4 linked regions of the Arabidopsis thaliana genome follow. The protein of the gene in region 1 purifies or fractionates together with the protein of each later gene. This does not show direct contact. Each region holds a gene or a part of one and is shown on either strand. Other genes may lie near its edges.

The links.
Region 2: the proteins of PWP2 (region 1) and AT3G26480 fractionate together in Arabidopsis thaliana (co-fractionation; one large-scale study listed by BioGRID). This does not show direct contact.
Region 3: the proteins of PWP2 (region 1) and AT2G18900 fractionate together in Arabidopsis thaliana (co-fractionation; one large-scale study listed by BioGRID). This does not show direct contact.
Region 4: the proteins of PWP2 (region 1) and AT3G21540 fractionate together in Arabidopsis thaliana (co-fractionation; one large-scale study listed by BioGRID). This does not show direct contact.

Annotation. Positions count from the first base shown.
Region 1 is NC_003070.9:5,305,520-5,311,430, reverse strand, and holds PWP2 (periodic tryptophan protein 2), read left to right. Parts: upstream 1-1,872; 5' UTR 1,873-1,970; coding exon 1,971-3,212; intron 3,213-3,312; coding exon 3,313-3,564; intron 3,565-3,652; coding exon 3,653-3,745; intron 3,746-3,885; coding exon 3,886-4,257; intron 4,258-4,356; coding exon 4,357-4,701; intron 4,702-4,784; coding exon 4,785-5,012; intron 5,013-5,101; coding exon 5,102-5,272; 3' UTR 5,273-5,404; downstream 5,405-5,911. Other genes in the region: BOR4 (HCO3- transporter family), read left to right, coding at 1-19, 111-448, 542-821, 971-1,090, 1,176-1,235; AT1G15430 (hypothetical protein (DUF1644)), read right to left, coding at 5,641-5,911. UniProt on the Arabidopsis thaliana protein: Involved in nucleolar processing of pre-18S ribosomal RNA. Plays a role early in ribosome biogenesis, especially in the maturation of 5.8S rRNA. Required for guard cell functions.
Region 2 is NC_003074.8:9,686,752-9,692,628, forward strand, and holds AT3G26480 (Transducin family protein / WD-40 repeat family protein), read right to left. Parts: upstream 4,216-5,877; 5' UTR 4,077-4,215; coding exon 3,957-4,076; intron 3,868-3,956; coding exon 3,691-3,867; intron 3,601-3,690; coding exon 3,454-3,600; intron 3,381-3,453; coding exon 3,035-3,380; intron 2,910-3,034; coding exon 2,791-2,909; intron 2,711-2,790; coding exon 2,633-2,710; intron 2,511-2,632; coding exon 2,346-2,510; intron 2,266-2,345; coding exon 2,221-2,265; intron 2,118-2,220; coding exon 1,948-2,117; intron 1,863-1,947; coding exon 1,784-1,862; intron 1,695-1,783; coding exon 1,618-1,694; intron 1,538-1,617; coding exon 1,408-1,537; intron 1,321-1,407; coding exon 1,191-1,320; intron 1,109-1,190; coding exon 942-1,108; coding exon of another isoform or gene 918-941; intron 892-917; exon of another isoform or gene 867-891; coding exon 522-866; downstream 1-521. Other genes in the region: AT3G26470 (Powdery mildew resistance protein, RPW8 domain-containing protein), read left to right, coding at 1-149.
Region 3 is NC_003071.7:8,187,709-8,194,075, forward strand, and holds AT2G18900 (Transducin/WD40 repeat-like superfamily protein), read right to left. Parts: upstream 4,829-6,367; 5' UTR 4,702-4,828; coding exon 4,582-4,701; intron 4,506-4,581; coding exon 4,320-4,505; intron 4,233-4,319; coding exon 4,044-4,232; intron 3,943-4,043; coding exon 3,537-3,942; intron 3,402-3,536; coding exon 3,283-3,401; intron 3,187-3,282; coding exon 3,109-3,186; intron 2,970-3,108; coding exon 2,829-2,969; intron 2,736-2,828; coding exon 2,691-2,735; intron 2,608-2,690; coding exon 2,441-2,607; intron 2,263-2,440; coding exon 2,184-2,262; intron 2,098-2,183; coding exon 2,021-2,097; intron 1,925-2,020; coding exon 1,795-1,924; intron 1,710-1,794; coding exon 1,577-1,709; intron 1,494-1,576; coding exon 1,327-1,493; intron 1,242-1,326; coding exon 1,079-1,241; intron 998-1,078; coding exon 783-997; 3' UTR 529-782; downstream 1-528. Other genes in the region: AT2G18910 (hydroxyproline-rich glycoprotein family protein), read right to left, coding at 5,308-5,361, 5,790-5,887, 6,180-6,367.
Region 4 is NC_003074.8:7,585,353-7,592,888, forward strand, and holds AT3G21540 (transducin family protein / WD-40 repeat family protein), read right to left. Parts: upstream 5,647-7,536; 5' UTR 5,505-5,646; coding exon 5,271-5,504; intron 5,073-5,270; coding exon 4,857-5,072; intron 4,743-4,856; coding exon 3,621-4,742; intron 3,378-3,620; coding exon 3,255-3,377; intron 3,097-3,254; coding exon 2,915-3,096; intron 2,628-2,914; coding exon 2,396-2,627; intron 2,168-2,395; coding exon 1,958-2,167; intron 1,775-1,957; coding exon 1,646-1,774; intron 1,529-1,645; coding exon 1,460-1,528; intron 1,271-1,459; coding exon 1,148-1,270; intron 1,067-1,147; coding exon 1,016-1,066; intron 925-1,015; coding exon 748-924; 3' UTR 534-747; downstream 1-533. Other genes in the region: DMP2 (transmembrane protein, putative (DUF679 domain membrane protein 2)), read right to left, coding at 6,356-6,910.

The sequences.
Region 1 (5,911 bases):
AATGGATAAAAGTCCACTTGTAAGTAGTAGACTCATAATTCAATGTTCCGGTGAAAGAAAAATCAAGATTTAATTTAGAATAATCATAAGCTCTTGCTTTTAAAAACCAGGCTCAGACAGATCCATCAGTGATAATTGAGCTTCAAGATCTGAAAGAAGCAGTAATGAAGAGCAATGATGAAGAAAGAGAGGGAGACGAGGAGAGTGGTTTTGATCCAGAGAAGCACCTTGACGCTTACTTGCCTGTTCGAGTCAACGAGCAGAGAGTTAGCAACTTGTTGCAGTCACTGCTTGTGGCAGGTGCAGTGTTGGCTATGCCGGCCATTAAGCTCATACCGACTTCCATTCTATGGGGATACTTTGCTTACATGGCCATCGACAGCCTCCCGGGAAATCAATTCTTCGAACGCTTAACGCTTCTCTTCGTTCCAACAAGCCGGAGATTCAAGTATATGTTCTGAAAATGATCTGTTTTTTTTTTCTTCAAGTTATTATTATTCAGATTTCTCTTCAAAGACTGATCATGCATTGTTGTTTTCAGGGTCTTGGAGGGAGCACACGCGTCGTTCGTGGAGAAAGTTCCTTACAAGTCAATGGCTGCGTTCACACTGTTGCAGATATTCTACTTTGGGCTGTGCTATGGGGTGACGTGGATTCCGGTGGCTGGAATCATGTTTCCGGTTCCTTTCTTCCTCTTAATAGCTATCAGACAGTACATTCTCCCGAAGCTCTTTAACCCGGCCCATCTCCGAGAACTCGATGCCGCTGAGTACGAGGAAATCCCCGGTACTCCGAGAAACCCGCTGGAACTGTCTTTCCGGGTTAGTCCATATCTTAGCAATATCTACATTTTTGAGGATCCCGGACTTTGGACTAAACCATGGAGGTTTTCTTGTCATCTAAGGCATCTACAGTGACCTAAAATATTTGAATTTGTTGAATTTAATGCCAAAATAAACTTGTTTTACAGTCGAATGACTCGAAGAGAGGCGTCCAAGAAGGCGATGCTGAGATTTTAGACGAGTTAACGACAAGCAGAGGCGAGCTTAAAGTCCGTACATTGAATCTTAACGAAGACAAAGGCAACCAGGTTTTGTTTTGTTATGCATCCTTGATATGAATCTTAACTTTGTGAAAAGAATTATAGACTCAAGATCGCTGTTAAAAACCTGCAGATTTATCCCAAGGAGAAAGTAAAAGCAGGAGACGGGGACATGAGCACGACAAGGGAGTGAGTGAATCAACAAAAAGAATCAGAGATTATTCTTTCAAGTGATGATCATGATCATGATCATACGCAAAACTATATAGTATTGTAGAACACAGATTGTATGTGGCTTTCTTTTTTTTTTTGGTTCTTAAACCTAAGATGATGTGTGTGTTTGTCAATATAGTCTTCTTAGCAATGAAAATCGATAAAGAATTAACACAGCGAGAATGTTACGGATATGTAACGTAACCTTCCAAGAAAAGGTACTAAATTTCAAAAAAGTCAATGTGTTCCTCATAATTTCAATCTATGAGTCAATAATCACTTTACCATAGACTAAAATTCATTTTGTTAACTTTTTGTGTAGAAGAAAAGCAAAGGATAGCTTCTCTTCTATGGTAAAGATGCGAATCTGTAGTTTGTTTGATGTTCTCTGCAAAATTCGCATGTATAAAATTAATTAAACGTTTAGAAATATAATAGATGAACTTTATAGTACAAAGGATCCGTGGCGCAATGGTAGCGCGTCTGACTCCAGATCAGAAGGTTGCGTGTTCGATTCACGTCGGGTTCAAATATCCCGAATCTTGATCCTTAATTTTTTTTTCCTCTTGGGCTTACTACGACTACATAAGGAGGAAGCCCATATATGCCCAACAACTAAAATCCAGTTCATAACAGAAACCCTCGTTAAACCTAACGCCGTAATTATCGCCTCCGGCATATCAATCCTCCGCCTTCTCATTCTTCTCCAGACGCCATGGAGTTCCGTTTCGAGAATCTTCTTGGCGCTCCTTACAGAGGCGGGAACGCAGTCATCACTAAGAATACTCAGCTAATTTCACCGGTTGGTAATCGTGTCTCCGTCACCGACCTAAGTAAGAACCATTCGGTCACTCTTCCGCTCGAAACCTCTACCAACATATGTCGCCTCGCTTCCTCACCCGACGGTACTTTCCTACTCGCCGTCGATGAACAAAACCGATGCCTTTTCATCAACTTGCCTCGGCGGGTAGTTCTTCACAGAATTACCTTCAAGGATAAAGTCGGTGCCTTGAAGTTCAGCCCTAATGGTAAGTTTATCGCTGTTGGAATTGGTAAGTTGGTGGAAATATGGCGATCACCTGGTTTCAGGCGAGCTGTTTTGCCCTTTGAGCGGGTTAGGACTTTTGCTAATTCTGATGATAAAGTTGTCTCCTTGGAGTGGAGCTTGGACTCTGATTATTTGCTTGTTGGCTCAAGGGATTTAGCTGCTAGGTTGTTTTGTGTTAGAAAGTTGAAGGGTGTTTTAAATAAGCCATTTTTGTTTCTGGGTCATAGAGATTCTGTTGTGGGTTGCTTCTTTGGTGTTGATAAAATGACTAACAAGGTCAACAGGGCTTTCACGATTGCAAGGGATGGTTACATTTTTAGTTGGGGCTATACTGAAAAGGATGTCAAAATGGATGAATCAGAAGATGGCCACTCTGAGCCACCGTCACCTGTTACTCCAGATAGGGCTGATGAGGTGATGGTGGAAAATGGTGGTGGTGTTGGTACTGAGCTTAAGAAACGAAAAGAGTATGACGGTAAAGGTCTTGAATCAGATGAAGAAGGAGATGATGATGATGAAGAGTATATGCACAGAGGAAAATGGGTTTTGTTGAGGAAGGATGGGTGTAATCAGGCATCAGCAAAGGTGACCGCTTGCGACTATCATCAGGGACTTGACATGGTTGTGGTGGGGTTCTCAAATGGTGTTTTTGGGCTTTATCAGATGCCAGATTTCATCTGTATCCATCTGCTCTCTATTTCTAGGCAGAAGCTAACAACAGCTGTCTTCAATGAGCGTGGTAATTGGCTGACCTTTGGTTGCGCGAAACTTGGGCAACTGTTAGTCTGGGATTGGCGAACCGAAACCTATATACTGAAGCAACAAGGACACTATTTTGACGTCAACTGTGTCACTTACTCACCGGATTCGCAGCTCTTGGCAACTGGTGCTGATGATAACAAAGTCAAGGTAATGAAATTTCATAGACTTAACTGTTATGTTCTATACCATGCTTCTCATCTATTTCTGAATTTAACCAGCCCGTTTTTTATTATGTTACATTTTTAAGGTGTGGAACGTTATGTCAGGAACATGTTTCATTACATTCACCGAGCATACCAATGCCGTGACTGCTCTTCATTTTATGGCTGACAACCACTCCCTCTTAAGTGCATCTCTGGACGGCACTGTTCGTGCTTGGGATTTTAAAAGATACAAGAACTATAAGACATACACAACCCCTACACCCCGACAATTTGTTTCCTTAACAGCAGACCCGAGTGGTGACGTCGTCTGTGCTGGGACCCTAGATTCATTCGAGGTAATTCAACTTAGGCCCTGAAGGATTTCAGTCACCTACTCACAAATACTTTGGTGAGGTGAATCACTTTATGCTTGCCTATGTGCAGATTTTTGTATGGTCCAAGAAGACTGGGCAAATAAAGGATATTCTGAGTGGGCATGAGGCTCCTGTTCATGGGTTGATGTTTTCTCCCTTAACGGTAAAGAAACTGTCATAGTCTCATACTTCTTTTAGTCAAAATACAATTTGCTTCGTGCCTCTGAACAATTATGTGAACTTCTGCCTTATGGTGTTATAACTTCCATGCCTTATCTAGTTCATATATTTCTTTCTCTGCAGCAACTTTTAGCTTCATCCTCATGGGACTATACAGTTCGGTTGTGGGATGTGTTTGCTAGCAAAGGCACCGTGGAAACGTTTCGACACAACCACGATGTTCTAACAGTTGCTTTCCGTCCTGATGGGAAGCAATTAGCCTCGAGTACGCTAGATGGGCAGATCAATTTCTGGGACACCATTGAAGGTGTGTTAATGTACACCATAGAGGGGCGGAGAGATATCGCTGGAGGTCGGGTCATGACTGACCGTCGGTCTGCAGCTAATTCAAGTTCTGGAAAGTGTTTTACAACATTGTGCTATTCCGCTGATGGAGGGTATATTCTAGCCGCAGGAACTAGCAGATATATTTGCATGTATGATATCGCAGATCAGGTTAGCTAACTAGCTCCTCTTGGAGTTCAGGTTTTCTTAAAGCTTGTGTTCTTCTGATAAAGAAACTTAGTCAAAGTGTCTGGAATATCACCTTTTCAGGTTCTTCTGCGCCGGTTTCAGATATCCCATAATCTTTCGTTAGATGGGGTTCTGGACTTCTTGCACTCTAAGAAGATGACAGAAGCAGGACCAATTGATCTGATCGATGATGACAACAGCGATGAAGAAGGTGGCATTGATAAACAGTCGAGAGGGAATCTGGGTTACGATCTGCCTGGATCCAGGCCTAACCGTGGCAGGCCCATTATCCGGACAAAAAGCCTCAGCATTGCCCCAACTGGAAGGAGCTTTGCTGCTGCAACAACAGAAGGAGTCCTCATCTTTTCAATTGACGATACCTTCATCTTTGATCCGACCGATCTAGATATAGATGTTACTCCAGAGGTGAGCCTTTTGTAAATCGCTGATGGTGGTTATAGTTCTGATTATTGGTTTTGAAATGTAAAGCTAAGGTGTTGTTTGTGTAGGCTGTTGAGGCTGCCATAGAAGAGGATGAAGTTAGCAGAGCACTTGCTCTAAGTATGCGTTTGAACGAAGATAGCCTTATCAAAAAATGCATCTTCGCTGTAGCCCCTGCAGACATAAAAGCTGTTGCCATCTCTGTCCGCCAGAAATACTTAGAAAGGCTTATGGAAGCTTTGGTGGATCTGCTTGAGAACTGTCCTCATCTGGAGTTCATACTTCACTGGTGTCAGGTAATGTCTCGTTTTCTTCTCTTTTTTGATAAATCTCTGCTCAAATGCTCTCAACTTAATCAAACTTTGTGTTGTCTTTTTATGTGCAGGAAATCTGCAAGGCTCACGGAAGCTCCATTCAGCGGAACTACAGAACTCTATTGCCTGCACTGAGATCGTTGCAGAAGGCGATCACCAGAGCCCATCAGGATCTGGCAGATATGTGTTCTTCCAATGAGTACACGCTTCGCTACTTGTGTTCTGTTCCAAACAATCATTGATTATGTTTTCTGCATTATGTATCACCGGAAATTTTCATCTTCCTTTTTCGGTTAAACAAATTTTGAGATTTTGATATATGAGTTTCTAACATCTGAATACAAAATGGAGCAAAGAAATTAAACAGTTTGCAGGCAACCATAAAAAGTACGAAGAATGTGAATAATTTGATTTAAGCAGAGATTTTTGAATAGGCAAAAGATGATCCTAGCTATGAAGACTTCACTAACAGAAGCTAACATACAAACAATATTAAATTTATGCCTAGAACAAGAACTGATGTCGCTACAAGAACATTACATTATGATAAAAATCAAGAGACATCAAAACTTTTGGAAGAATTCCTCATAGACTCTGGCACTCAGAATCTTCATGGCGTCCATCTGGGATACATGGGGGCATGGAACTCCAGACGGGGTATGTGAGCCGGGTAATTGTCGGTGCTTGCACGGCTCTCCATGGACGCACCAAGAAACAGATTATGCACCAACGCATCAAAGTTGAGATCAATCATGGGATGACGATATGGAAGCTGATGGAGAGAAGTCGCCAACAATCTCTGTTCTGCATCCCATCTCTGACGAGCGTTGAGCATTTCAATGTACTCCGCCTCTCTCTCCAACTGCTCCCACATGTGTTGC
Region 2 (5,877 bases), on another chromosome or scaffold:
AATTCCGCACCTTCTCCAACAACGTCATCAACAACATGCTTGCGATGAAGCGAGCGCAAGATGTCTTACTACGAGCCAACGGCTTTGACCCCGAGACCCTCCTACCGATGATGTCTCCTCCTGCAGCCTCCATGAATCCTCCTGCTTGACCACATACGACTTAGGATACTTGCAACCCACTCAACCTTGCGGACTACGATCTTTAAAACACAAATTGCTTTCGATTTATGTTTTTCAATTTGTTAAATTATGTTTCAGTCACAATTTTAAATATAATTTATCGTCCACTACTCTGTTTTAGCTTCTTCTTTTTCCATACGTTACAATTGACCTTACTTTTTTACGTATTAAAGAGAGAATTGGTTTATACACCTCAAATCAGCAGGTTCTACATGATGAATGAAGCCCTTTTAATATCAAAACAACCCTTTTAGTAGCTGAAGGAATCAGATTGTATCTCTAACAAAAAGGCTACCAACAAAATGATGTTATCCAAGTTGGGTTCCAAAATATGGGGTCTCTCAAGAGCTATGTCTTTCAGGTTGTCTATCTGCTCTCTCACACACCTCTTTCTGCATCCGGGAACTGAAGAACGAAGCGCACAAGTCGGGGAAAGGCGGGAAATTGAGTGTTGATCCACAAAACATTGTTTCCCAAGGTTTCTCTGACATCAATGCTTTCTTCCTAGATCTCTTCTTCTTTTTGCTTATTGCTGCAAGAAAAACTTCATAATCTATGGCGCTAGTCTCGAGTTTTTCATCGCTATAAGGATCAAATAGAACATATTCATGGCTCCTGTTTACATACGCGAGAAGCGGCTGAGACTTTTTACCATCTTCCACAAATGAAAGTGTTCCTCCTCTGGCCTGCAATAAACATTGTAATCAAGTCTCTTAACGGCAATGAGAGAACTTTGATTAATCCTTCCTTAGAGTATATACCTTCATTACAGTCCAAATAGCTACTGGTTTAGGGCCTGACCCATCAAACAAGAGGATAGCACCATCTTTCCCGCGGAATATCTGTTCGTTAGATTTTACCAACCTATCAGATTCTGGAAGCCATGTTAAAACTGCAAAGTATGGTGAGTCCACTTCAGTAGCAATGGCTGCAAATAAACAGGAAAAATGAAATATACTTAGACAACCAAAAAAATCAAGATTTCATGATCAAAAAGATAAATAATAAACCTTCTATGTATAATCTATATGACCATGATAAGCAGAACGTCATCAGATCCCAGACAGATAAGTGCGGTGTGGAACCATGGGATGCAGCAATAAGGAAGCCTCCTCCAGTGAATGAGAGTTCCATAATTGGCTGAAACATTTACATATCATTTAAGATTTCAACAATGACTGTAACTAATGAACATGGAATTGCTTTTGTGTGTTATACAAGTCTTACCGCATTTGCCTTTCCAACTACATACAGGAGTTCGTTCTTTAACGGGTGCCAGATCGTAATAACTGTTTTAGCCGCAAGAGCCAGACAAGAACCATCCCCGGAAAAAACAGCAGCTGTTATTGGCGTTCTCCTGAAAAATATTACATCAATTTCATTTGACATCACAACGACTAAGTAATGAGAGATGTTAAAAGGTTCCTAATCTTTTACTTATAAGAGCCAACTCCATGACAAATCCAGTTTGAGTCCTCAGGTGTCAGATTCTTGTCGCTACTGCAAACCCAAATCTTGACAGACATAAAGTCATATCAGTAACACAAAAGGTCAAACGATATTCCAAGGAAATGATCCATTTTTCACTACTCTGTAATCCTACCTTGAAGTCCCCAGCAGAAGATATACTAACAGCCATGGAACGGGCGGGGTTAAGGGCAATGGCTGTAATTGCAGCTTCCCTGTGAGAATACAGAAGGATCAAAAGTTACACTCACGATGAGAATCAAGGAGTTTAAAAGTTTATAAGAACATTGAAGTAAAAACCTGTGAGGTTGATTTATGACTGTCGATAAGCTGAAAGTTTTGCTGTCCGGTACAAATACCCAAAACTTGAGAGAAACTATGCCTTCACTGAAATTGCTTGCAGCAAATCTGGCCTCAGCTGTAGTCATTACTGAGCCATTCCGAGAGAGAGCAACCGCAGTCACGAGAACCTATTTTCCATAATTCTTCAAATTATTACAAAACAGAAAGAGAGCGGATCTTTTACTAGTAACAACTATGTCATCTTACAGAGAAGAAACAAAATGTACTAACCCGGACTTGATCATCATCGTCTGGATGATGATCGCAAATTTGAACCTGCATATGTTAGGTTTGTTAAATAGTAAAATCATACAACTATCAGATACAAAACTCAATAAGCCTTTTGGGAAGCTAACCTCTGAAATGTCATGGTCACTTAAAAGGTTGTAGAGTTGAACACGATGATTCGCTGTGCAGAAAGCAGCTATACCGGAAGAACGATCAATGGATACAGTTCTGGTGAGGCATATATCCCGCGTTTTGACGTAGCATATAAACCCGTGACGCTCTGGTGTCGGAGGCTATTACATAGTAAAGAACACAATATGCATGTGAAGTTAACTCCAACAGAAACGGTATACAATATGAGCATGCTTAAACCAACAATAACAAGGAAAAATTTCGGATGATAGTAAGAACGAACCTTGATTCCAGATATCGTTCTCAATATCTCCATGGAAGGCATTTTAAGAAGATGAATTTGATTATCTGCACAAATCACCTGAAAATTCTTGATCTTAGTAGAGTTAATGAAACACTTCATTTGCTTTCTACGGTTGTTGTAAACGGAAAAACTCTTACAGAAGAAAGAGTTGAATCTGAAGAGAAGATGAAATACAACAAGGGAGATCCAATCTTTGGCAAAAGTTGCTTCTTCCCTGTACCTAGCTCCCAAACAACAAAATCACCTGCCTTTACCCCTAAAAGAGTCACAAGCAAAGGAAATATAGCATAAGAACTCAATATATATATATATAAGAAACATGAATTCCTTATCAACACACAGAGATACAGTCACTATGATGAAAAAATAACTCAGACTCACCAGAATACAAAAGTGCTCCATCTGAAGAGAAATTAAGGACGGTTACTTCAGCGCTGTGCCAGTTGAAAGTAGTGCAAGATTCAGTATCATCTTCAGTTTTCACTGAAGTAAATTCTCCAATACCATTATCCTTCCAAATTAACACTCTTCCTGTTACATCACCGGCTGCTAATATTCTCTGATTGGGATGGAAAGCAAAAACAGTAATCAACTCTGTATGATGTAATGTCGTCTCCTTTGGCATGAGGTGCTCTGATGCCACATTCCATATATGTATACTGCAGTTATGACAGACGCCGAAAAACTCTCCAGAGGGACTTAAAACAATAGGTTTTGGTTCTTCCATCTGCACATTAACAAAAATGATTATAGAATCAAACATGAGGCTAATCGAAAAATGGTTAATCCACAAATCTGACCTCTTTCAAAGTGTCTCCACTATGAAGAGGGTCTTGAGTGAGATCATATCTCCGGATTTGTCCAAACAAATCTTTGGACACACTTGAATAGTCCTCAACCGAAACATAAGCAATCACGGAATGTGACACTTGAGCTGGAATCATCACCTACAAAGTCCCAACAGACACTTAGAAAAGGGCAATTGAAAGTTATCAAATTTTTGTTTATAAGCTGCAAAGTATGGAACTTTAACAGACCAGAGAGTGAATTGGAAGGTGGGTATCAAATATCTTCAAAAGCTTCGGCGCAGAGAACTCCCAAATCCGAATTTTCCCATCGAGCGACGAAGTCCAACAGTAACTGACGGTTTCGTCGGAAGACGGATCAACAATCACAGACGTCACAGGCGCTGTATGATCCTCGAGTGAAGTAATCTTAAAAACACACACACGCATACGCTAATGAGAGAAGAAGATTAGAGGGAAACCCTAAAAGGAAGGATGCTCGAGTCGAGAGATAAAACCTTTAAGCCAGTGGCGACGCTGTAAACAGAGACGGTGTTGGCTGTGCATAAAAGAAGCTTCTTTGCGTCTTTCGAAAACGCCGGAGCGGAAGTAATGTTGTTTCTTCCGCCGCGAATCATTTTCCTTCAACTCACGGAGATTCTGAGAAGACGCAAACATCTTACTCGGCGATTAAAAATTAGATTTTGCGACGTTTTTCCGACGAAATATTACAATGTACCCAGTTTTCGAGGAAATTATGTCTGTGACCAAATTGCGACTAGTACTTAGTACTATATGCTTGTACTTGTAGTTTCACTTTCTTCGTAACACCTGGCTCTGTGATGACTCCTCTCATTCTCTTCCTCCATGTTTGGGTTTCGCTTCTTGGACTAGGCCTTGACCTTGTTGGGCCTCGGCCTGTTTGTTTATTTTTTCTGTTTTATCTTTAATAAAATGAGACGGCAAGAAAATAACTTACATAATTTTTCAAGATCTTAAGTATTTTGTATTTTCTTAATTTATGTGAAAAACCCTGTGGATAAACAAAATATAATGTATAGTCCAATAATTGGAAATTTTGTAGTTAACAAACTCACTTCGTTTTAACAAAATATGGATGGATGATTCAGAGGCATAGTATGCGACATTAACTGTATTACAATGGTCGACAATGACTTTGATTTTTGAGGTCGTCCAATAAATACTAAAATGTATGGGTATGATTTTAGGTTGACCAATAAACTTCGATATCCATCGTTAATTCCATGAATGTTTTAAAAAACTGAAGTTGCTTCTATTATATATAAGTTAATCTATTTTATAATTTTATTTTATGACAGTTTAGCTATAATTTCTTTTCAAAAACATTTATGTTCTTAATTTATCAATCTATCACTTTCCTCGTCAACATATTACTTTTTTTATAAATCTTTTGCATATGACTAGCTTATCGGAAAATCGTTCATATAGATAGCGACATAACTAAAATAAAATTAGAAAGATGATATTGTTTTGATATAGTGTTTGTTTGTCTTGTTTCAAAAGACTATGCAATCAACTAGTTGTGCGTCTTGTGGATCTAACAGTTTTAAAAATGTTTAGGGTCAATAGTTTAATCAGACTTGGAACGGTAGTTTATACCTTTAGATACAATATTATCTAAGGTTAATTTATGTCATGGAAAAGTTATATATAGACAAAATGTTCAAAAAATTTAGGATTTATTGTGAAAAAACGAGAAATGGTAGATGATTCATATACATATCAACTTATTCCAAAGTAAAAAGTTTAAGAAATAAGAAAAATAAAAATTGTAGCGTAACAAACATTGACATATGGCTCGTTGGAAACAAACTAAATGTAATAATTATAGTTGTTCATCAAACTATTCGCATACAACCATCATGAACGATGACTAAAAATGGGAGACAAAGTGGGACTTTTGTAAATCCTACGTTTAATGAATTAGAATGTTGAATTATTTTTTCAGATTTTTATACATATGAATTGTTGCTTTCAGTGTTCTCTTAACCAATGAAAGTAAAGATGCTCAAAGGCTAAATATAAAGAAGATAAATTTCATTTCTCTTGATTATTCTCTTTAGGGTTTAAGATTACATCATGTTTCCTTTCATAGGCATTATAATCTTAGTGACACTAGGGTTTTCACTGACACATGTCAGGTCTCTATTGATCCTAGACAGTCAAAACAGTTTTGTAAAACCACTCCTTCTTTTCCAGCACAGCTCCTTGTTTTTGTCCTTTGATCCAATCTTGATGTACTTTTGGTTTTGTCTTCTTTTGCAGGAGATGACCGTTGGAGCTGAGAGTTGTTTAGGGTCTGCGCTTGGGCCTGTTGTTTATTGGGCTTGAGGTTTGCTGCATTCTCAATTTGGCCCAATCTCAGAACCTTCTTGATAATGTCATCTGAAGAATTTA
Region 3 (6,367 bases), on another chromosome or scaffold:
TTTTTGCAAAAGTAGAAAGCTTTTCGAAGACGTAACACAAACCTTGCAAACTATTGTCCTACATGCATGTGGAAATAAAAATAAAAAGGTAAGTGTCCCCAAAGCAATTACCTTTTTCATGTACTTAAAGAATAATTTGCTCAACATATTGGACCACCAAAAGAGCTAAATATATAATAGATGAACCTCGAATCACGAAATATGAAATATCTATTTGTATTCCCATTTTCCAACTTAATAATGCAAAATGTTATCAAGCAAAGTTCAAATAAAATAATGCAAGGTGTTAGTTGAAATATTTGGATTTTGGAATAATTTCTTTTGGTGGGTTAGGAGCACCTGACTCGTTTCACAATTATTGAGAATCTATTAGCAAAAGTAAAAAGTCCCCAAATTATTTTGCTTATTTCCACTAAGGATATATAACGATTTCATGAACATTTTTCAAATTTAAAAACGAAGCACCCTCAGTATAATAAATCTCATTATGATTTCAAGAACAATTTGCATTAAAATATATAAATGCATGCCGTATTTTAGAAACGAAAAAAAAAAAGGCAGGTCGTGATATTTCATTTCGTTTTTGGGTCAAACATGGCACAATTGGTTAGAATCCTGTATTTTTTGAGTAGCAACAACATAAATAAACTGGACCGAATCTCACAACAAAGAGCTACAAAATTTCCTGAACAAACTCAACAACTTTGCTCACCAAAGATGGCTGCAAAAATGAGCTCTTCTTCTGTATAATAAACCTTACAAAAAACTTTTTGTGTAAGGTCTCATTCCACAACGGCCGTTCTTTTCTCCATTAGGGACTCAAAGAACTCAGCACATAATTTCTGAAGTGGCGGGAAATTTAGTGTGGAGCCGCTGAATATTGTTTCCCACGGTCTTTCTGATGATACAAACGGTGTTCCCAACGACTCAACATCCTCCATTCTCTTCTTGTCATAATCAGGTAACTGCCCGTATAAGGATGTGTACCCGGCGTCTCCTAAAAGGTTGAGACTTTTTCGATTAGTAACATGGTATAATCAACAAAGGTTCTTTCAAATATGTTTTAAGTTTTAACTACCTGTCTCTTCCAGACCAGCAAGACCATCGTAGTCAACAGCGCTACGCTCATGTGACTCATCACTATTGGGATCAAAGACAACATATTCATGGCTTCCATTTACATATGCAAGGCGAAGCTGAGACTTATCTCCTTCTAAAAATGAGATTGATCCTCCCCTAGCCTGCAATTTAGACATTGTTTAACTCGTTGGATTCTTTCCTGTCTCTCCAAGGTTAAATACTAACGGGCTATTTCTTATGTCATACCTTCATCACAGTCCATATAGATACCGGCTTGGGATCTGATCCGTTAAACAAAAGAATGGCACCATCTCTACCACGGAAGATGTTCTCCTTAGATTCATCTGTTTTAAAAGTTTTTGGGATCACAGCCAAGACTGCAAATGCTGACGAATCCACTGCAGAGGTGACAGCTATAGAACGAGAACAAGCATTTTCTAAGTAAACCACAGCAAGAGTTTTCATGGGGAAATCAAAGAAGCATTATAATACTGACCTTCTATGCGTAACCCATATGACCATGATAAAGATAACTTTGATGTATTCCAAACAGATAGTTCAGGTCTTGGAATATGGGATGCAGCAACAAGGAACTCAGACTTTCCAGCGAAACAGAGCTTCGTGATAGGCTGTAATAATATATAGAGAGGTTTAAACATTGGTCTTTATGGAAAAAGGTTCCAGCTTTTTTAGGGATAACTTCATAGGTTTTACCGTGAGTGTCGATCCTAGAACAGACAAGAGAATGTTCTTATCTGGATTCCACAGTGTAATAACATTCTCAGCCGCAACAGCCATAACAGTGCCATCCCCAGAGAAAGCAGCAGCAGTCATTGGTTTCTTCCTGGAAAATATTCAAAGGCAAGAGAATATAAATTTGATCGCCAAGGCGAATAATTTGTGAATGTTGAAATTTCCTAGCGCGTAGAGAAGCTATTACTTATAAGAGCCAACAGCGTGACATATCCAGCTAGAGTCTTTATCCGTCTGGTTCTTGTCACTGTTGCATACCCAAATCTGAAACAGCAAAAGTGATATCAGTAAGACAATAATAACAAACAAAAAACACAGAGAGAAAAATGTAAAATCAGTTTAAGAACTACCTTGAAGTCACCACCGAATGATGTACTCACTGCCATGGAGCGGGTAGGGTGGAACACAATGGCTGAGACACCGGCATCCCTGTAAGATATACAGGAAAATAAAATTTACTCTCTGCAAAGGATATAACAGTTTGTAGACTAAATAAGAGAAATTGAAATCTATGTTTGCAAGGTTTACAAGAAATAAAACATGACAAGAAAATTGGGTAATGGTGAAAAATAAAGCTTTATCCATTAGCAGAGGGTGAAATATTAACCTATGAGGTTCATATACGATTGTGGATAAGGTGAAAGTTTTGCTGTCTGGTTCAGACGCCCAAAACTTGAGGGACACTAAGCCTCCTATTCCATCTTCCGGAAGTTTCACCTCGGTTGTACTCATCACTGAGCCATCCAGGGAGAGAGCAACCGCTGTCACCACAACCTATTACCGTTTACTCAAATTATCACCCAAACGAAAATAATCTTAGATATACTATCAAATAAACAGCAAGGAAATGTACTTACTGTGATCTCATCTCCTGGTTGATGGTTTCTCTCACAAACTTGAATCTGCAAAAGCATTGATTAAAGAAGTTAGAGATTTCATAGACAGGAGAAAGTGGCATAGAGTTTCTTAAGGATATATTGGAGCCAAATTCTAACCTCTGAAATTCCCCGGTCATTGAGAAGATTATATAGCTGTACACAATAATTCTCTGTGCACAAAGCAGCTATGCCAGAAGATCGATCAAAGGCAACAGTACTAGCCAAGCCTTCATACATCCTAGGCAATGATGGGGGAGGCTGTAACAAAATAACACACATTGAAGTAAACACCAAGAAAAAGGTAAAGCGGTTGCGAGAGTTTCTAGAATCCTAGAATCGTTGACAAAACTGACGAGAATGATTACAGGTCCTTAATTATTAAGTTTCCAAGACGAACCTTGATTCCAGAAATGGTCCTTAAGATCTCCATGGAAGGCATTTTAAGCAAATGGATCTGATTATCTGCACAAACCACCTGCAGCTCTCATTCGTAGTCAAATCAGTAAAACATTCCCTTTTGCTTTCAGCAGTTGTGTGTTAGATTAGAATGAAAGAGTAAGCTCCGACTTACAGAAGAAAGAGTTGGATCTGGAGACCACATGAAATACAGCAAGGGGGATCCTATCCTTGGTAAGAATTTCTTTTTCCCTGTGTCTAGCTGCCAAACGACAAGTACCCCTTCCCTTCCCCCTAAAGAGTCAGAAAACAGACGCAATATGGAGTAAGAAGTCAGGACATTACTTTCAAACAGTAAATTTGCTCATGACCTATTAGTCTATGTCGGTTCATAAATCCAATGGATATCAGAATATAACTCGGCCGCACCTGAATACAAATATGCTCCATCGGAAGAGAAATTAAGGACATTAACTTCAGCAGAATGCCAGTGCCATGTAGTGCAAGATTCAGCATCATCTTCACCTCTCACTCCAGCATTGTCCAAATCAACCATGGCTCTCACTTTTTTCTTTTGATTACCCAAGGCAAGTTTTCTATTACCAAATCCTCTCCAAATCAACACTCTTCCAGTTACATCTCCAGCAGCTATAACTCTCTCCGTGGGATGAAAAGCAAAAGCATTGATAACCTTTGTGTGATGTAATGTCATCTTCCTTGAAACCGCATGCCTTGATCCTCCAGAAGGAACATCCCATATATGAATTTTACACTTGTGACGGATTCCGAAAAATTCTCCCGAGGGACTAATAACAATAGATTCTGGTTCTGCCGTCTACACAAAGAAATAAGCAAATAACTTGAGCTTACACAATTCAACTTCAAGACAACATTAAAGACAAACCTCTTTCAAATAAGTCCATTAAAAAAACTAACCTCTTTTAAAGTATCTCCACGAGGAATACGCGACTTAGCGAGGTTAAATCTTCGGATATGTCCACGCAACTCTTTAGACCCTTGGTTAACCACACTTATATCCTCAACGGAAACATAAGCAACCAACTTACCAGACAACTCACGACGTTTATCAATTTGTTGAGGTTCGCTCAAAAGAGATGGTATAACCTAAAACACACAAAACACATAGATTCATTTCATCAAACAAAACACTCACAAAACCTAATCAAAGTATCAAACTTTTTTTATACTCACCATAGAGTAAATCGGAAGCTGAGCATCAATAGTTTTCAATAGCTCAGGTCCAGAGAAATCCCAATGACGAATAGTACCATCAAGAGAAGCAGTCCAACAATAACAAAGGATTTTTTGAGCAGGACTTGATGCAGGAACAACAATTAGAGTTGTTACTGGAGCTGTATGACCTTCAAGCGAAGTAATCTAAAACAGAAATGTATCAATCAATGATTCGAATAGAAACCCTAACAAAATCGAAGAAGAATTAAATTTTTGGTACCTGTAAGCCAGTGGCGGCGCTGAAAACAGAGACAGTGTTTCCTGTGCAGACGAGAAGCTTTTTAGCGTCGTTGGAGAATGATGGAGGTGAAGTTACGTAGCTTCTTCCGCCGCGTTTCATGGTTAATTTCCGGCGATAGAGAGAGGCGGTGAAATTGGGAAGAGAAGAAGAAAAGGGAGACGCACAAAATTGGTTTACTTCAAAAGCCCTAACTTAAACCCTTCTTCGTCTCTTTTGTTTTTTTTTCTGCTCAATTACATTTCAGTTTTTATCTATTTATTTAATCGGAAAATATTAAACAATAATGTTTTTGGGCCTTTGTAATGGGCCTTGTTAGGTTTGATGAAGATAATTATTGAAGTTTTGAGAGGTATCTAGCAAAAGTTTTCATGTATGACAACAATCAAAAGAAAAACACTGAGCAAACTTTTTTGAATTGAGACAATATATAGATTATAACGATACAATTAAAAAGTAAATAATGTGATTAAACTTACAACAAACCAAATGACCAATGACATCTCTCCATTTTGCTTTGGAGATTTCACCATTGTTAGATGAAACTAGAAAGAGCTACTACATAGGTTTTGAAATATACCAAAAGAAATCTCTAAGATTAAATATCATCTGAAGAGAACTTTCCTCAAGACTCAAGCTTTTTTGAACTCTCTCAGAAAAACAGATTTTAGAATTGGCCAAAGGGGAAATGAGTTTATACATGGTTGCTTATACACTCTGTACTTTCCCCGGCATCTCCTTTGCTTTCACGGTCTTCATATCCTGCGTTCGATTCAAAAGATATGTGTTAACTACAAGATTTACTTGAGGAACATAAGCAAATCAATGACTAAAGAGAGTAGTAACTCTAAAACCAATCAATGACATTTTTGACTACCAAATACCAATGAACAATTTTTACAACTGATATTGAGTGAATATCAAGCTTCAAATATGTTGTATCAATTTCATTGGTTGTATATTGTTATGTTCATTAGCCTAGAAGCAAAGAGCAAAAAAACACTTAAACTAGCTTTACTTCTAAGCTTACGCAAAATGTACATGAAACAAAAAGCTGATGAATCAATCGGACTAAAGGAATCGATTATCGATAGAAACTAGTACAAAGAACGATACAGGACCCGCAAGAACAAGAAACTAAACATATAGAGACTCAAAGGAAACATATAGAGACTCAAAAAAAAACTTACTGATTCTTTGCTTTCGTAGTACTCATCCAAAGCCCACTGATACTTAGATTGGTTTAACCCAAACCACCTCACCAAATGATCATCCACACTTGAATGTGCTGTAGTCAAATGGATTAGAACACACACACACAACATGAATGTCAAATTCACAATCTAATTGCTTTTAGGACCAAATCACATAAACAGTATGAAAAGCTAGAATTCATGTAACATTAGTACTTTCCAATCACTTCACAAAGATAGAAACTTTACAACGATTTATATCATTTTTGAGTTCAATTTCCTAATCAATCAATCAAAGGGTATCGGAAAAATCAATCTCAAATTCAAGATCTAAAAATGAGGAAACTTTGAGCTGAAAATCAGTTAATTGTTTATCAGATTTCTCACCATTTTGAACCTTTGTGACGGCGTTTTTAAAGAACCCCAAAACTGAGCCGTCCTGGTCAGAAGAAGCCACCGATTTAAACTGCTGCGGCGGAGGAAGAACCGGTGGTGCCATCACAGGCTTCTGAGACACAGCGGAGGGAGATTCAGGTGGTTTAGGAGTCGCAGGAGGAGTCATAAAGACAGTGTAA
Region 4 (7,536 bases), on another chromosome or scaffold:
TGTGTAATCAAGAGACATAATGGAATGAGGCATAGTCACTTGCATTGAAGCAGAACTCTTAACACAAACAACTGAAAGTAGTAATCCTCCACAAGAAATTGCAAAACATAAAATTCAAAGCTTGTGTAACTCAGGAATGAACAATAATCACTTGATGATATATTGCAAGGGGTTTGTTTCTGTAAAATTGACCCAAGATGAAATTTTTATTTCCTTTATCATAAACCCATTTCACACGCTTTTATTTCACTATATGAGTGAGAATATTTTCAGAAATCGAAATCCAAATTGTAAGAAAAAATTTCGTGTAATGCTCATAATCTCGATCGTTTTGTGTGTATATGTATATTGTATATACGGAGCAGAGAAAGAGACCTTGAGGTAGGCGCGAGAATCAAGTAAAAGCGACGGTGTCCGACGAAACTCACCATTCGATCACCGTCGCCGTCATCACTGTTCCGCCATTGCAAAGACCTTTACGTTAACCGGAAATTAGTGGAGCTCGGAATTAAACCAGACTGGTTTAATCAGTCTTAAACCACAAACATATCATTTATTCACGAATGGCCCTTTAATTTTAAGAAATGTACAATTTTGACCCTTGGTAACGAAAATTTATATTTTGACCCTTTCGAGCCACATTTGACATTTCCACGAAGTGATTTAGTAAAACATTAAATGGAAGAAAAAAAAAGGTTACAACAGGCAAAATTGGATTTAAATTAACCATCTTTAAAAGTTACATCCTCAGAACAAAGCATGGCCATGTTGTCCTTCCTCTAATTTCTTCTGCTTCTTCTTTCTCTTTTTCTCCATCTTTGTATCTCCTCGTGATGCCATACGTTTTGCTTGCTGTGACCTTATCTCCAATAGCTTGGCCTTTGCATCTTTGAAGGGAGCATCAGATCTTGCATCCATCATTTGCTGCAAAACACCACAGCTTCACTTTAAATACCCACAAAGATGAGATAAAATGCTAAAAATGAACATAATCCAAAGTGCGAAATGTTTTTACCTTGACATGATCCATGGCGGCCAAATTGAAACCGATTGTATCTTTGCATGCCTGATAAGTTCCAGATTCATATCAAAACCAATTCAGAAATAAAAAGATATACAACTCAACAACATTTTCCTCTTTGCTAACCTTGATTTCTGAGTAAAGAATGTCCCTGAGAACGCTTAAGATTGGTCTGGCAGATGGTGTTGTTACCAACTGGTTGTGATGTGTCTGTAATATAATGGTTGCGATTCTGCTAACCAACTCTACCTGCAGGATTTGGTAACAAACATTAGAGATATTCTAAGACGAGAAGGATGGATCTATAATCTGTTGTAAAAATATAACAGGTTGATGACCCAGATCGAGTACATTCTACTTTACAACACGAAGCTATATCTATAAGCCCTTCAGAGCTAAAATCTAGAATCTACGACACAAAAGGAGTATATAATTTACCTTTTCGGGAATTAAACTCCAGTCTTTCATGTAGCAAAGAAACTTCAAAGAATCTGAGAATGGTAGAGCCTACATAAAACCCAAAAGAGGAAAGGGTATTGATTAACATAACCATGGATCTAGTACGAGTTGGGTGCAACCAAGTAACTAGTAAAACGATGGTTTGATGGAAGAAAGGCAACCTACCAGCAAAGTCTGCTCAAGATCATTTGTTCTCACATTTGAGATGGCCCTGAGAACATATTCGGACGGAGAAAGCCCGAACATCACAGCGTTGGGTAGGTATTCAGGAACTTTTCCCTTTGTTTTCTCCTCCTGAAGATTGGAAGAAAGAAAAATCACGATGCAAAGAACAAGTAGGAAACAAAGTAGCAACCGTAGATATTGGCATAACCATTTTGTGTTAAATTCAACTCCAAATTAGCCAAAAACGAAGTACCAACTAGGGGGATGTCATGTCGATATGTATAGATAAACAAACAAAGTAACGATTCCCACCTCATAAGCAGCATGACGCTTTGTTTCATCTTCTGCTACTTCCAGAGCATCTATAATTGAATCAGCAGCTGATAGAACATCTATCGTCTTCTTGCCAGCTAATGCTGCAACACCTTCCTCTGGAATTTCCTCCATGGGTCCATGCCTGTCATCTGCTGCATTATCAATCTCAGACTCAAAAAGCTCTTCTAACCTCTTTTCCTTCTCTTCCTGCATTATTTCCAGTAAAATTACATTAATTGACCTAAAGTCACATAAAATAACTCGTCAAAATATACTTGAGATTTATGTAGACATGACAGTATGACACCAAATCTACATTCACAACCACATACACATAGAAGAGTTATTATATTTGAATGCTTGAACTTGCATGACTTCCGTATTTGATTTCATCATGTAAACTGAAATAAGTAACTTCCAACAGTGGGGAATTACCTCGAGGAAGAAAGGTTCTTCAGAGCGATCCCAGCGACGCATGGAGCGGTCATGAGATCCTGTTACGAGAAAATCACCACGGTTACTGATAGCAAGGCACCAAATCTCTGCATGATGTCCTTCAAGCGTTAACAAATGCTCGAATTTGTCAGCATCCCAATACTTGACGAGGCGGTCTTTCCCAATGCTGAACAGATAATGGGTATTCCGAACAAATTTTACACCCATGACACTGTAAAACAAAGTCGCGTGTCAGTTAAGCTCCACAATCTTTTAATGATTCCAAGGAGTCTTTAACACAAAATATAATATTTGCGGTAATAATCAACATTTTACTAGCCAAGTAAATCTGTTGGGAAGATACTGGAAAAGGAAAGGGGTTTTCTGCTTATATATCATGTCATGCAATTAGTCATACTGTTTTCTTACACAAAATTATAATATTCAAGGAAAAACTGGGTCCACATTATTGAGTACGTTATGCCATTTTCAGAAATATGGTACGAATTATGGAAGTACCTGTCACCATGAGCAAAGATAGACTTATGACAATCACCAAAATCCAAACCCCAAATTTTCAAATTTTTGTCCTGAGAACCAGTAACAATCAACTCTCCATCTGATGAGATGTCAATGCACATCACAGGCAACTTGTGGCCATATAAGGAGAGGTAGAATTTTAGGGAATCCATGTAGAAAACCTGAAACCAATATAAGGTACATAAGTTAGTGTTACATACGTCAATGTAAATGATAATACGATAGATACGATTATAAGAATGTGGTTAGCGTATCATTTATATGACGTACTGAAAATTATTATTTTCTCATTTACATATGCCATAAACAGAAAATCTACCTTCACTGTGGAATCAAGCAGTGCAACTGCTATGTGTTTAGCATCCGGGCTGATAGCAACAGCAAGTACATCGTCATTCATCTTCATGGACTTAACATTTGAAACAGTGAGTTTCTTGGTCGCCTGCAGGTTATCAAACACAATATGTTTTGATCGAATCATTTTAGCACACTGTAATATACTACTCAAATAACACTAATAAACAATGTGCTCATCAACAACTTTCTTAAGAGTGAGCAATTCCAGAAAACAAAGGCACGGAAAACAGGAGATGGAAAAAAAGAGAGTAGAGAGGCAATCTATGATACAAAAACGTTTACTTATCTAATAGAGAAAATAAAAGAAACTTAAGGTCAGGAATCTCACCTTGCCAGATTTCTGTTTGACTTGGTATTCCCAGAATTTGACTTCATGATCTGCACTGACTGTGACAAACCCGCTATCGTTTGGAATAGGTGTAATTGACCAAATAGTGCCACCATGAGCCTTCACTTCTTCCACTTTGGTAGCGCTCCCTATATCAATGATTTCAAGTACCCCACTCTTGGTTCCAACAATACCATACTTGTTTTGGGGAACAATCAAACTGCATAATCCATATCCTGAATCAATGGTCCGGAGGCAGGAACCTGTACTGGGATTCCAAATTTTTACTTCACTGTGACTGGTTGACATCAAAAGGGTGTTGTCTTCACTGAGGGTAACACTCCTCACATCAGAGCGATGTCCTTGGTGTTCAATGGTAACAGTTTTCGCGTTTTCGCTGCTTTTAAGGGAATAGAATTCCAGTGAGTTATTGTTCAAAGAGAGAGCTAATGTTCCTAAGGATTCTTTTGGAGCTGTCGGACAGAAAGAGAAAGAGCTGATTTTTCTCCCAGCTCTAATGACTTGTAAGAGCTTGAAAACATCAAGGACAGTAGGACTAGAAACAGCATCAGCTAGTTCAATTTTAGCACTTGCTTCGCCATTAGCGGTTGAATTTTCATCCCCCACTTTGGAACTCTTCTTCTCTTTTCTGCGAAGCCTACGCTTTGCTTTCTGCTTAGCCTCAGCTTCATCCAAAACCCGGAATATTTCAATAGTTTTACCTGCCATTTGACAAGCCAGAAGTTTTCCCGAAACATTGAATCTAACTCTCGCAACTCTATCCTTAGTTTGTCTCTGAATTTCCCCAAACAGCTTTAGAATTTCCCACTTGTTCTCTGTCGAATGTTCTTCACTGGCCTTGATTTCATTTGCATTTGAGTCAGATACCAATGATCCGTTAGACGAATATTCCTTGACAGCATAAAATCTAAGTTCTTGATCAGCCGACCCAGTAACAACATATCTCTCCTCTGGATCAGTATCAACAGACCACACTTCACTATGATGACCACTAACTATTTGCATACAGTGTTGGGTCTCAAGATCCCAGACTCTCAAGAACTTGTCCTTAGATGAACTTACAAGTTTCTTACCACCATCCAAGAATACAAGATCTGTGACCTACATTAGACACATGAACATTGCTCTTGTCAAAAACCACTATAAAAACCCACACACCATAGCAGAATCATCAAACACTAAATACTAGAAATATCAAGCTAGACATTAAATAACCTGATCTCGGTGCCCACGGAGACGAAAAAGACCTGATTCGCCAACAACATCCCACAAGATAATATCATTATCTTTACTTCCAGATGCAAGCATCGATCCAACCTTATTGTACCGCAAAGCAGTCACCGCCCCCTTATGGCTATTAAAATTAACCTCACAAGTTCCTTTCTCAGTATCCCATATTCTTATGCTCCCATCTGCATACCCAACTGCCACCTGGTTTATCACACAGAATCAAACAACAGCAAACTCCTTCAGATACTCAATAGTACAAAGCACCATGAATATTATTAATTCTAGCTTAAAATTCAAATACGACATTTCTAGCTCTATTTAGCTACCAAATAGATTACAAAGTGAACAACTTTCAAGTCATTAAGCAAATCAAAATAAAAAACGAACAAAAGTAAGTACCAAGCTAGAAGCAGAGGAGGCTATAGAGGTAACGGCGAGAGATGGTCCACCGCGAGAGGAGGAAGGAGTTAGGGTTTTGGAGCAGACACCTTGCCGGACGTGCCATATTCCGACCTTCTCCAACGCCGGAGCAAGCACATACTTCCCCGTCGAATCGTAAGCTATGTTCGAATCTACAGATGAAATCACACCGAAAGAGGTCGCTGCATCGTATCTTTGGTAAGCCTTCACCATTCTCCAAAAGCTTTGGTTTTGATTTTCTCTTCTTCTTCTTCTTCTAGCTTTTGATGGCGGGATTTAGGGTTTTAGAGTGGTTAAGGCAGCAGGGTTCTAACATCCAATGTTACTTTTGATAAATTGCGATATAGTCTTAAACCTTTTGTCTATTCAATATTTAACCCCTAACTTTATTTCAATAGATTTGAAGCCCTTACTCTTCGGACCCAAACTTTTGTTTTCTCAATTTGCAACTATGTTGTGTAATCATTGGTACTAAGAACGAAACAGAACAAACAAAAAGAAAAATGGCTCACGACATCCATGACCAATATTAGTAATTTTTTATCATTTTCTTAAAAATCAATGTATAATAATTGAATGATTATCATCTAAAGAAAATCAAGAACGTACACTTTTTATCTTATTCATACTCTAGGCTTACCTTTTTAACATCCACATTAATTTTTTTTATTTTTTTTGTTAAAGGGCCCATCCACATTAATTTTTCCTAGCTAATTTCTTTCAAAATAAAAGGATATATAGAAATATTTGTGTGTATATACATTAGTTCATATAAGTGTCTCTTAAGTTTCAACTCCTTAACATCTAGTGATTTCAATAATGCTGATTCACTCACTATGAGCATAAAAAGAGATATGTTATTACTTTTGAGTTTATCAACAAACATATGGAAAAAATACCAAAAAACAAACACACAACATATGATCAGCATTCAAATACATAAATAAAAATAACAAAAAAAAAGATCACAATTATAAAACTTTCGTATTTACCATTCCACGAATAAACACATGCCATTACATTTTAATGTTTTATGCATATAAATAGTATAAAATCATATACTATCATTTCATCTCGGAAGCATCATCCTCACTGTGGTCCGAGGGATTCCCAATTCCGTGACGTCTACTAGGGAACACCGTGAAAACAGCACCGGAGATAACTCCGATCACCGGAGGCAAAACCATGAGAAAGATCTTCCCAGCGGAGCCAAAGCCAGGATAGAAACAATTCACGGTGTTTGCATCCAACAAGGAAATAACACTGAACACGATAAGAGAGAAGAAAGCGTGAACGAAATCTCCAACTCTAAGCCTTTTCGAAGACAAATCCACTGAAGATGAATCTGGCCAAAGACCCTTCACGGTGGCAACTCCATAATGAACGTAACCGTCTCTTGTTCGGTAACTATCGGTGAAGCAAGTGAAGCAACAAGAGAAGGCACAAATAACGATGAGAACTCCGGTTAAGTATTTGTTGATGAGGAGGCAATGTCCATTGTTGGTTAGGACAGGGTTTAAAAATTGGAACAAGAAGACGGTTCCGGTCGGGAGGAGCTTGATGAGGTCTCCTACGCCTGAATATGTCCGGTCTCTTATGGCTTTGAATGTTTTCGACATTTTTTTGTTCTTCTTTTGTAAATTATATTTTTAGTTGTCGTTTATAGTGTTCTTGAATGTGAATTCATAAAAGTGTTGTTTGTCGAGTGTTTATAGGATGAGAGAGAGACATTGCTTCTACGTAAAAACGGGTTTGGTGTTGCTTATACTCTTTAGAAAAAGTTGGGGGAAAATTTAATTATAACTTTTTTATTTGTTTAGGTTACCCTTTTTAGTATTTTAGGCTTGTACTAGAAAACGTGGCTTGGAGGATTAGATTCGTTATGTTTCTCTTTGTATTAGATACATAGAAGTGTGAAGTCATTTTTAATGCTCCATTCCATTTGTTGTCACACATATCGTCATACGGTCGTTGAAAGATCTGGTAGTCCAAAACGTATCGAGTGTGAAACAATATGTTTGGCAAGTAGACCGGAACATGTATAAATTTATTTATATATTTGAATCTTGTTAAAAACATTTTTGTGTATTTAGAGACTACACATAGGAAACTACTGATTTATACATATGGTTTACTCGACTTAATAGTTTGTTAAAACCGGTTAAGTTTATGAACGTTTTGTAGAACCTGTGAATACTCTGTTTTTAAATAAAAATAAATAACATAACATTTCTAAAGTAGTATG